2 linked regions of the Macaca mulatta genome follow. The protein of the gene in region 1 binds, or shares a complex with, the protein of each later gene. Links are inferred from orthologs where the notes say so. Each region holds a gene or a part of one and is shown on either strand. Other genes may lie near its edges.

What was found.
Region 2: the proteins of AMHR2 (region 1) and AMH are in contact, whole or in part, in a crystal structure (PDB 7L0J), measured with the Homo sapiens proteins. The link is inferred for Macaca mulatta from reciprocal best matches to the Homo sapiens genes AMHR2 and AMH. Residues at the interface, in NP_065434.1 of Homo sapiens: Gly31, Val32, Arg33, Gly34, Ser35, Thr36, Thr38, Leu39, Phe62, Ile64, Glu75, Met76, Arg80, Asp81, Ser82, Glu84, Pro85, Ser95, Arg97, Ala98, Pro100, Ser101, Leu106, Thr108; in NP_000470.3 of Homo sapiens: Leu471, Arg472, Glu474, Val477, Leu478, Ile479, Pro480, Glu481, Thr482, Tyr483, Gln484, Lys534, Leu535, Ile537, Leu539, Glu542, Arg543, Ile544, Ser545, Ala546.

The regions. Positions count from the first base shown.
Region 1 is NC_133416.1:60,571,779-60,576,476, forward strand, and holds the start of AMHR2 (anti-Muellerian hormone type-2 receptor), read left to right. Parts: upstream 1-1,587; 5' UTR 1,588-1,729; coding exon 1,730-2,009; intron 2,010-2,246; coding exon 2,247-2,438; intron 2,439-2,701; coding exon 2,702-2,779; intron 2,780-2,991; coding exon 2,992-3,110; coding exon of another isoform or gene 3,111-3,225; coding exon 3,226-3,456; intron 3,457-4,698. UniProt on the Homo sapiens protein: On ligand binding, forms a receptor complex consisting of two type II and two type I transmembrane serine/threonine kinases.
Region 2 is NC_133424.1:2,995,696-3,000,341, reverse strand, and holds the start of AMH (muellerian-inhibiting factor), read right to left. Parts: upstream 3,019-4,646; 5' UTR 2,382-3,018; coding exon 1,967-2,381; intron 1,352-1,966; coding exon 1,203-1,351; intron 1,032-1,202; coding exon 923-1,031; intron 836-922; coding exon 676-835; intron 586-675; coding exon 1-585. Other genes in the region: SF3A2 (splicing factor 3A subunit 2), read right to left, coding at 3,170-3,970, 4,064-4,132. UniProt on the Homo sapiens protein: Plays an important role in several reproductive functions. Induces Muellerian duct regression during male fetal sexual differentiation. Also plays a role in Leydig cell differentiation and function.

The DNA of each region.
Region 1 (4,698 bases):
TCACGAGGTCAGGAGATCGAGACCATCCTGGTTAACATGGTGAAACCCCGTCTCTACTAAAAAAAAAATACAAAAAACTAGCCGGGCGAGGTGGCGGACGCCTGTAGTCCCAGCTACTCGGGAGGCTGAGGCAGGAGAATGGCGTGAACCCGGGAGGCGGAGCTTGCAGTGAGCTGAGATCCGGCCACTGCACTCCAGCCTGGGTGACAGCGCGAGACTCCGTCTCAAAAAAAAAAAAAAAAAAAATAGAACCTGGACTTTGGAGTCAGACCTGCCTAAGTTCAAATTCCAGCTCTGCTATTTCCTAGCTGAATGACTTCGGGCGACTTACCTAAGCTCAATTTTCTTACCTATAAAGTGGAAATAATAAAAATAATAGGCCAGGCACAGTGGCTCACACCTGTAATCCCAGCACTTTGGGAGGCCGAGGCGGGCAGATCACGAGGTCACGAGATTGAGACTATCCTGGCCAACATGGTGAAAACCCTGTCTCTACTAAAAATACAAACATTAGCTGGGCATGGTGGCCTGTGCCTGTAGTCCCAGCTACTGGGGAGGCCCAGGCAGGAGAATCGCTTGAACCAGGGAGTGGGAGGTTTCAGTGAGCCAAGATGGCACCACTGCACTCCTGCCTGGTGACAGAGCAAGACTCAGTCTCAAAAAATAAATAAAATAATAATAATAATAATAAATATTTCAGGGGAGAATTAGATGAGACGATTGTAAAATGCATAGCCCTAGCTGTGACCCAGAATATAGTAGGTGCTTGATAAGAACTTTGTCACCTCCTTAATAATGGTTATTTGTTCAGCCTGTGAACCAATGTGATTTTTTTTTTAAGTGAAATCCACACAGCAAAATTTACCATTGTTACTGTTTTCAATGTGTTTTTTTTTTTAATTCAGGTAAGTTTTATGTACTTTCTGATTCTTAAGTTGGAAAACAAGGTAACCTCTAATATGGGCTGTGAGGCCTTCCTCTGCCCAAGCAGCTGCAGATATGAACCCTGAATATAAAGGGATCTTAGGCTAGAAGGGATCTTGGGCAGAGCTGAATGGCTCTAAGCATTTGACCTCACCTTAGTTTCCTCCTGAGAAGAGTCAACAGAGTCCAGCATCTTCTTCCAAGGTCAGAAAAGGGCAAAGATTTGAAATTAGGCATCACTGGGTTCTCAGCTGGGCCTGCAAGGTCCCCTCCTCCCACTATGCAGAGCAAAGAGGAGGTTGCAGAAGAGAAGAGGATATGAGATTGGTTCTCTGCTCCTCCCTTTCTTTCCCTGCTTTCCCCACACCCACCCTCTCCCCCACAGCAGCCTTCTCCCCCACAGAGGCTGGGATAGAATGAGGGGGGCGGAGTTGGGGACTGAGGGATCAGAAGCTCCAGGATGCCCTGTATCTGAAGAAAGCTTTGGCCAGGGGCAGCTGTGCTGGCTCATGCTCTCCTCCTTCTGCTGCTGCCATCCTCCAGCAAGATGCTAGGGTCTCTGGGGCTTTGGGCATTACTTCCCACAGCTGTGGAAGGTAAGCGTCTACAGGGAGGGGAAGGGTCTTTCCATCCATCCCGTGAGGGAAAGGGGCGCTTGAAGCAAGAGCCACCCCTTTGGAAGAGTGGTGAGTGGGCTGGGTGAGTGAGGGTGAAGGACAGAGCCATGTGTCCCCATGGCGGGGCTCAGGTTCCAGCCCTCTGCTGACCCTGCTTCCTCCTGTGGCTTTACCATACTGACGCTGGGATGTGGAACATGTTTTTGTCTGTTCTTTTTGGCCACTTTTTTGCCTCTGCATTCACTCCTATCTCGAATCCTTTCCTTTCCCCACCCTGGGCCTCAGCACCCCCAAACAGGCGAACTTGTGTGTTCTTTGAGGCCCCTGGAGTGCAGGGAAGCACAAAGACACTGGGAGAGCTGCTAGATACAGGCCCAGAGCTCCCTAGAGCTATCCGCTGCCTCTACAGCCGCTGCTGCTTTGGGATCTGGAACCTGACCCAAGACCGGGCACAGGTGGAAATGCAAGGTGAATGGCAAAGTATATGGCAGGTGATAGCTAGGGTGGGAGACAGACACATCCTGGGGTGTGGGTGGCAACCAAGGGGGAAGGGGAGAAATAGAACATGTGGTGGGAAAGAAAAGCCCATGAGAGATGGAAGGGATGCCTCTGATAGAGAAGGGATTTATCCTCTGTTTCCACATGCCATTGTGCTTTCTCCCTTTTCCCCCTTTCTCTCCTCTTCCCCTAATCCCACCCCATCAGGATGCCGAGACAGTGATGAGCCAGGCTGTGAGTCCCTCCACTGTGACCCAAGTCCCCGAGCCCACCCCAGCCCTGGCTCCACTCTCTTCACCTGCTCCTGTGGCACTGACTTCTGCAATGCCAATTACAGCCATCTGCCTCCTCCAGGGAGCCCTGGGACTCCTGGCTCCCAGGGTCCCCAGGCTGCCCCAGGTAGCCACCCAAGGGTACTGAAGGCTGGTGGGGGCTGGGCCCAGGTTAGGATGAGAGATGGAACCAGGGCCAGTTCTCACCCTACTCCCACCCCACACTTTCCTCCTCCTGGCCTTGGGAAGTTGGTTGCCCTGGTGACTGGGAGATAAGGGGTCTTGTGACCAGGGTGGGGGTGGGTTGAGAAGCAAGCTCTCAGGAGGGGAACAGCGGAGAGCAGGTTTGGGTCAGTGCTTGCCAGCCTGCATTCTTGCCTTGATGTCCAGGTGAGTCCATCTGGATGGCACTGGTGCTGCTGGGGCTGTTCCTTCTCCTCCTGCTGCTGCTGGGCAGCATCATCTTGGGTACTAATCCACCCCATCCCTCCCTTGTGACCCCAAGACATTGTCCCCAGAGCTCTGATCCCTCTCCAGGCACCCCTGACCCCATGGTCTTGGGATCTCCATAGCCTGATTCCCAGACTCCCATGACCTCTCACAAAGCTCCCTTTCCATAGAGTCCCTTTTCCTGTCCCCATGCATGTGCACCCTGAACCTAAGGCTCTTCTCTGTTCCAGCCCTGCTACAGCGAAAGAACTACAGAGTGCGAAGTGAACCAGTGCCAAAGCCAGGGCCAGACTTGGGCAGGGACTGGAGTGTGGAGCTGCAGGAGCTGCCCGAGCTGTGCTTCTCCCAGGTGCCCCAGGGAGGGAGAGAAGGGATCCTCTGGGCACTCCTGGAGGTTGTGCTGGGGAGGAAGCCTGGCCCTATTATAGCTCAGAGGCCCACACTCAGCACAGTGTCCCTACCAGGTAATCCGGGAAGGAGGTCATGCAGTGGTTTGGGCCGGGCAGCTGCAAGGCAAACTGGTTGCCATCAAGGCCTTTCCACCGAGGTCTGTGGCTCAGTTCCAAGCTGAGAGAGCATTGTACGAACTTCCAGGCCTACAGCACGACCACATTGTCCGATTTATCACCGCCAGCTGGGGGGGCCCTGGCCCCATGCTCTCTGGGCCCCTGCTGGTACTGGAACTGCATCCCAAGGTGAGCACCAAGGAGTATATATGTGTGTGTGTGCCTGTGTGTATGTATGGAGGTGGGGGCTACATGGTAGCTGGGCCTTGTTGATGCTTCTGCTTTCGATTTTCTCTTTTCTAAGACATTAAAAATGGCCAGGTGAGGTGGCCCACGCCTGTTATCCCAGGACTTTGAGAGGCCAAGGTGGGTGGATCGCCTAAGCCCAGGAGCTCAAGACTAGCCTAGGCAACATGAGGAAACCCTATAACTGCAAAATTAGCTCAGCATGGCAGTGCACACCTATAGTCCCAGCTACTCAGGGGGCTGAGGTGGAAAGATCGCTTGAGCATAGGAGGTTGAGGCTGCAGTGAGCCGTGAGCATCCCACTGCACTCCAGCCTGGGAGACAGAGTGAGACCATCTCAAAAAATAGTAACAAGCTGGGCACGGTGGCACACGCCTGTAATCCCAGCACTTTGGGAGGCCAACTTGGGAGGATTGCTTGAACCCAGGAATTCAGGGATTCAAGAACAGTCTGGGCAACACTGTGAAACCCCACCTCTACAAAAAAGAAAAAATTGGCTGGGTGTGATGGCACGTGCCTGCGGTCCCATCTACTTGGGAGGCTGAGGTGGAAGGAGTACCTGAGCCTGGGAAGGTCAAGACTGGCAGTGGGCCAAGATTGTGCCACTGCACTCCAGCCTAGGTGACAGAGTAAGCCCCTGTCTCAAAATAATAATAATTTTTATTTATTTTTATTTTTTATTACATAAACAATACATGTTTATATATTTATTTTATTTTATTTTATTTTATTTTATTTTATTTTATTTTATTTTGTGAGGGGGGCAGAGCCTTGCTCTGTTGCCCAGACTGGAGTGCAGTGGCATAGCTTGGCTCACTGCAACCTCTGCCTCCTGGGTTCAAGCAATTCTCCTCCCTAAGCCTCACCAGTAGCTGGGATTACAGGTGCCTGCCACCACGCCTGGCTAATTTTTGCATTTTTAGTAGAGACGGAGTTTCATCATGTTGGCCAGGCTGGTTTCGAACTCCTGAACTCAAGTGATCCACCCATCTCAGCCCCACGAAGTGCTGGGATTACAGGCATGAGCCACTGTGCCCAGCCAAAAAAAAAAAAAAAAAAAAAAAAACAATGTTGGCCGGGCACGGTGGCTCACGCTTGTAATCCCAGCACTTTGGGAGGCCGAGACAGGCAGATCACGAGGTCAGGAGATCGAGACCATCCTGGCTAACACGGTGAAACCCCATC
Region 2 (4,646 bases), on another chromosome or scaffold:
AGGTCTACGCTGAGCTCGCGCAGCGCGCACGGCCCGTCGGCGGCGGTGGCCCCTGCGCTGCGCTGTGCCCGCCCCGGCCCGCGTGGATCCCGCCCGCGCCACTCCGCGCGCAGGCCCTGCAGCGCTTTCAGAAGCAGCAGAGCTCGCAAGGGATCGCCGGGGCCGCCGGGGCCGCCTGGGCAGAGCGCGAGCAGGCGTGCCAGCAGCGGGGCTGCGGCTGGAGGCAGACCTGGGAGGCTGCTCAGCTCGGCAGCCGCCGCTTGCAGCTCGGCAGCCACGCGGTGCGCCAGGGCAGTCGCCCACGGCGCCGACGTGGGGTCGTGCAGGGGCGCGGGGTCCCCGGTGGTGGCCGCGGTGGGCCGCAGCAGCAACAGCGGGTCCTCGCCGTCTAGCAGGCGCTCCAGCGCCGCGGGGTCCGACAGGTTGACCAGGCCCTGCGGGAAGCCGGCCAGCGCGTCCGGGTCCAGGGCCAGGCGGGGCGCGGAGGCCCGGGCCCGGGGGCCCCGCAACGTCCGCACCAGGCGCGTGAGCGTCTCCAGGAAGGGGTCTGCACTGGGCGGCGACTCCTCGAGCTCCGCGGATGGCCTGGAACCCGCAGTTAGGGGAGTTGAGAGCGGGCGCGAGGCCACGCCGCCCCCGCCTGCTCCTGCCCCATGCCCCCGGGCCTGCACGCACCTGGGCGGCGGGAAGGGCACGGTGTCCAGCTGGCCTTGCGCGGGCAGCGGCGCGGGCTCAGACCGCGGCAGCAGGAGCAAGGCCGGGGTCATCCGCGTGAAGCAGCGGTGGTCGTCGCCGAACAGCAGTGCCTGCACCTGGGCGGTACTCAGGAGGGAGCCTGCGGTGGGTGGGCGCGGGGTTGGCTCAGGGGCTGGGGGCTGAGGGCAGTCGACCCGGCGCCCGGTCCCTCTCCACGCACACCTACCCTCTCCGCGGGGCTGCAGGGTCAAGGCCAGCCCGGAGCCGCGCCAGGCCCCCGCAGGGCGGTCCACCGCCAACGCCAGGTAGCGAGTGTCCCGGGACGGGCAGAGGCTCTGTGGAGACCAGGGCTCAGCCCGGCTGGATGGAGGCTTAGCCAGCCCTGCTCTACCGGTGCCCTTCCTCCCATTGCCACTGGTTCTACGCTTCTCTCAGTACCGCAGACCCTGCAACAAATCCATGCCCCTGCCGCGGCCCAGGCAATGCCCCATGCAACTCCCTGGTACCTGGGCACCCGGCAGCCCAGCCCTCGTCACAGTGACCTCAGGGCCAGGCCCAGGCCCAGGGTACAGCACCAGCAGCGCCAGCTCCGGGGGGTCGGCTACTCCATGCGGGGGCTCCTGGAACCTCAGCGAAGGTGTGGGCTCCCAGGTCACTGCAGCCAGGACAGCAGGGGACGCCTGAGCCATTGAAGGCCAGGCCCGTCCCACACTCCCCTGGGAGTCTTTGGGATCCGTCCCTGCTGCTCTGGCCACTGTGCAGGGGGCCTTGAGCGGGGGACCTAGTGTCCCTCTTCACTGCCTTCCTGCAGCCAGGGAGCGGTGACCGCCCGGGCAGGCAGAGGCTGCGTCTGAGGCTGTGGGTGGGGCTGCCGCCCTGGGGTCTCTGGGTTAGGGCGCCCGATGAAGCCCCTTCCCCGCAGGGAGTCTCTCAGGCCAGTGGCCCCGAGAACAGGCTGGCCAGGTGTGGGGCGGTGGGGAGGAGGGTTCCACTGGCCCCGAGCCACAGGGTGGTTTCTTCACGGGTGGCGAGAAGACAGCAGCTCTCTCCCTGCCGCTGTGGCAGGGGCTGGTCTAAGAGCTGGGCTTCAGGGACAGGACAGAGCGCGGTGCCCACCTTCCAGGCCATGGACCCACAGCCCAGTCCCAGAACAAGACCACAGCCTCCCTGCCCAGGGTGTGGGCTCTGCCAGCCCTTGATCTTCCCTAAGAGGACCTGGCCCACCTGAAGGAGGCCGGCGGTGCCAAGCTCGGGGCTGGGCCCCACGTACCTTCCTCCAGGTGCAGGACCACCAGGCGCTGCCCCCCAGGGTCCCGCAGCCAGGCCCCCAGCCGCTGTAGAGAGGGCAAGGCAGCCTGCCTGTCACCGGGGGTGCACACCCCAAAGGTGGCCAGGTCTCGGGGGCCCCAGTGGGCCCGCTGCACGGCCCCCAGGAAGGCCCGCTCATAGGCGCTCAGAACTCCCATGACCTGCAGGGGGGTGCCGCTGCCATTGCTGTCCCCACCCAGTGCCACCAGGCACAGAGGCTCTTGTGGGCTGCCTGGCGGCCAGTCCAGGTCTTCTCGGAAGATGAGGCCACCGGTGCCCACAGCTGGTTCTTCTGCTCTGAGGGCCTCAGTCCCCAGCAGAGCCCCCAGGGCGGACAGTACCAGGGTCAGGCTGGTGAGAGGCAGGTCCCGCGTCATGGGTGCTGCCAGGAGCTGGGCTGCCCGCCTTGTGGAAGCCGAGTGGAAGGTAGGGTGTTTGTAAAGGACAGGCCCCTATCTCCTCTGCCGCGACCTTGGGGGACAGTGCCCGGCGCCCCCACTCCAGGCAGAGTGGCCTTCTCAAAGAGCCCTTTCTGTCGCCAGCAGCCTATCTCCCTCCCCACAGCGATAGAGCTGGGCCTGATTTGTCAACATGCTGTCCTTGAGGGCCCGTCCCCAGAAGGCACAGGAGTGGGAACCAGGCTGGGAGTGATGGCCAAGCAGCCAGACTAGACAGCGCTGGGGGCGGGGGGCCCAGATGTCCTGGGTGCTAAGGGGTGGGCCTGGAGGAGGAGGGTCCCAAGTCAGTGGGGGCGCCCTGTCCCTGCTCACCTTCCCAACCCCTGGTGGGCTATCTGGAGACCCCAAGGATATCACAAGAGTCTGCTCTTCCCTCCCCAGGACAGGACCCCAGACCCCCTCCTAGCTGGCTGGTGGAGTCTGTCCTCCACCAGGCCACCTCCAAGGTACAGCTGTCTCTCAGGCCTCCCACAGGTGTCTCCCGGCAGGCCCCAGGCCCTCCCCAGTCGGCGCAAACTCAGGGATGGTGCTGTGCCTGGCACTCCCACACAGCACTGACAAGGGAGGGCGGCGCTGCAGACATCAGTGCACTCGGGGCTGGGGAAGGCTGTTTAATGAGCAGGGGGCGGTACAAAAGAGCAGCCTTCTCTCGATGGCAAAAGGCAGGAGCACCTGGCGCTGAGCTTGCTGGGGGAGGGAGCAGCTTCTCAGTTGGTTGGGGGAGGGGGAGGTATGTTCCCTGGGCCTTCGGAGGGGAGTGGGGGCCTCAGCATTGGGGGCATGGGAGTTGGGGGGTGTACCCCAGGATTTGAGGGGTGAACTCCAGGAGGCTGAGGGTGGACCCCAGGAGCTGATGGATGGACCCCGGGAGGTTGGGGGTGGACTCCCGGGGCCTGAGGGTGCATCCCTGGGGCTGGTGGGTGCACCCCCGGGGCCTGAGGGTGAACAGCAGGGGCTGCTGGGTGTACCCCTGGGGCCTGGGGGTGAACCCCCGCTGATGGGGGAGGATGGACCCCCGGGGCTGGTGGGTGGACTCCGGGGGCTGGTGGGTGAACCCCGGGGGCTGGAGGGTGAACCCCGGGGGCTGGAGGGTGGACTCCGGGAGCCGGGGGGTGGACCCCAGAGGTTGGTGGGTGGACCCCAGGGGCTGGGGGATGGACGCCAGGAGCTGGGGGATGGACCCCAGGAGCTGGGGGATGGACGCCAGGAGCTGGGGGATGGACGCCAGAGGTGGGGGGATGCACCACTGGGGCCGGGGGGTGGACCCCTGGAGCTGGTGGGGGTAGCTGGGGTGGTCCCGGGGGCCCTGAGGGTGCAGGCCCCGTGGGGGGCATGGGTGGCAGAGGTAGGCCTCCCGGCGGTGGCGGTGGCAAAGACTCGGGCAGCGGTGGCCGAGGGGGCAGACCATTCATCAGCGGAGGTGGAGGCCGCTTCACCCCAGGGGGGCCGGCGGGGAGGCTGGGCGGAGCCGGGGGCTTCTCCATCTTAAAGTGGAACTGGAGGAAGAACTAGAGAGACGGAGAAAGGTTCAGCAGGCACGGGCAGGGCTAGGGCCACCGGGGCTGGGCAGGAAGGAGCCAAGCTCAGGGCTAGCCACTCACCTGCTTGGTCTCCCGGTTCCAGTGTGTCCAGAACTTGCCCTCCGCCTTGTCAATCTCTCTGCTCGGCACCTGGGAAGGCGGGGGACAGAGAGGGCTCCTGGTCCCTGTGACCTCAGGGTAGCCATCAGGCAGGGAGCCTGAGGCGTTAGCCTCCCCGGCCCGGACTCCACCCTGGGAGCCCAAGAGAAGGCCCCGGCCTGGTAAGACTTTCGATGGGCACAGGGTTCAGTTCTGGAGTGACACAGACCCGGCCTCCACGCTAGCACACGCTGGCCCCCGCCCTGGACAGGCACCGTTTGTATTGTTTCCTGATGGCTGCTTTGTCCAGGCGTAGGCACAGGCTGTGGGAAGCCCTCCAGCAGCCTAGACCAAGAAGCGAGGTCACTTGGCGAAGGCCTCACAGGCCCAGCGCTCAGCCCTGCCGGCCTCCCTTCTCCATGGGCACAGTGGAGCCCAAGCAGGCCCCCTCCTGCAAAGCCCAATGGGAGGGGTACCCTGCCCAGCCTGCACAGACCCTTCTGGCTCCGTCTCGGGGATCCCAGGGGACCCCACAGCCTGATAGGAGGGGCGCCCTGCCCAGCCT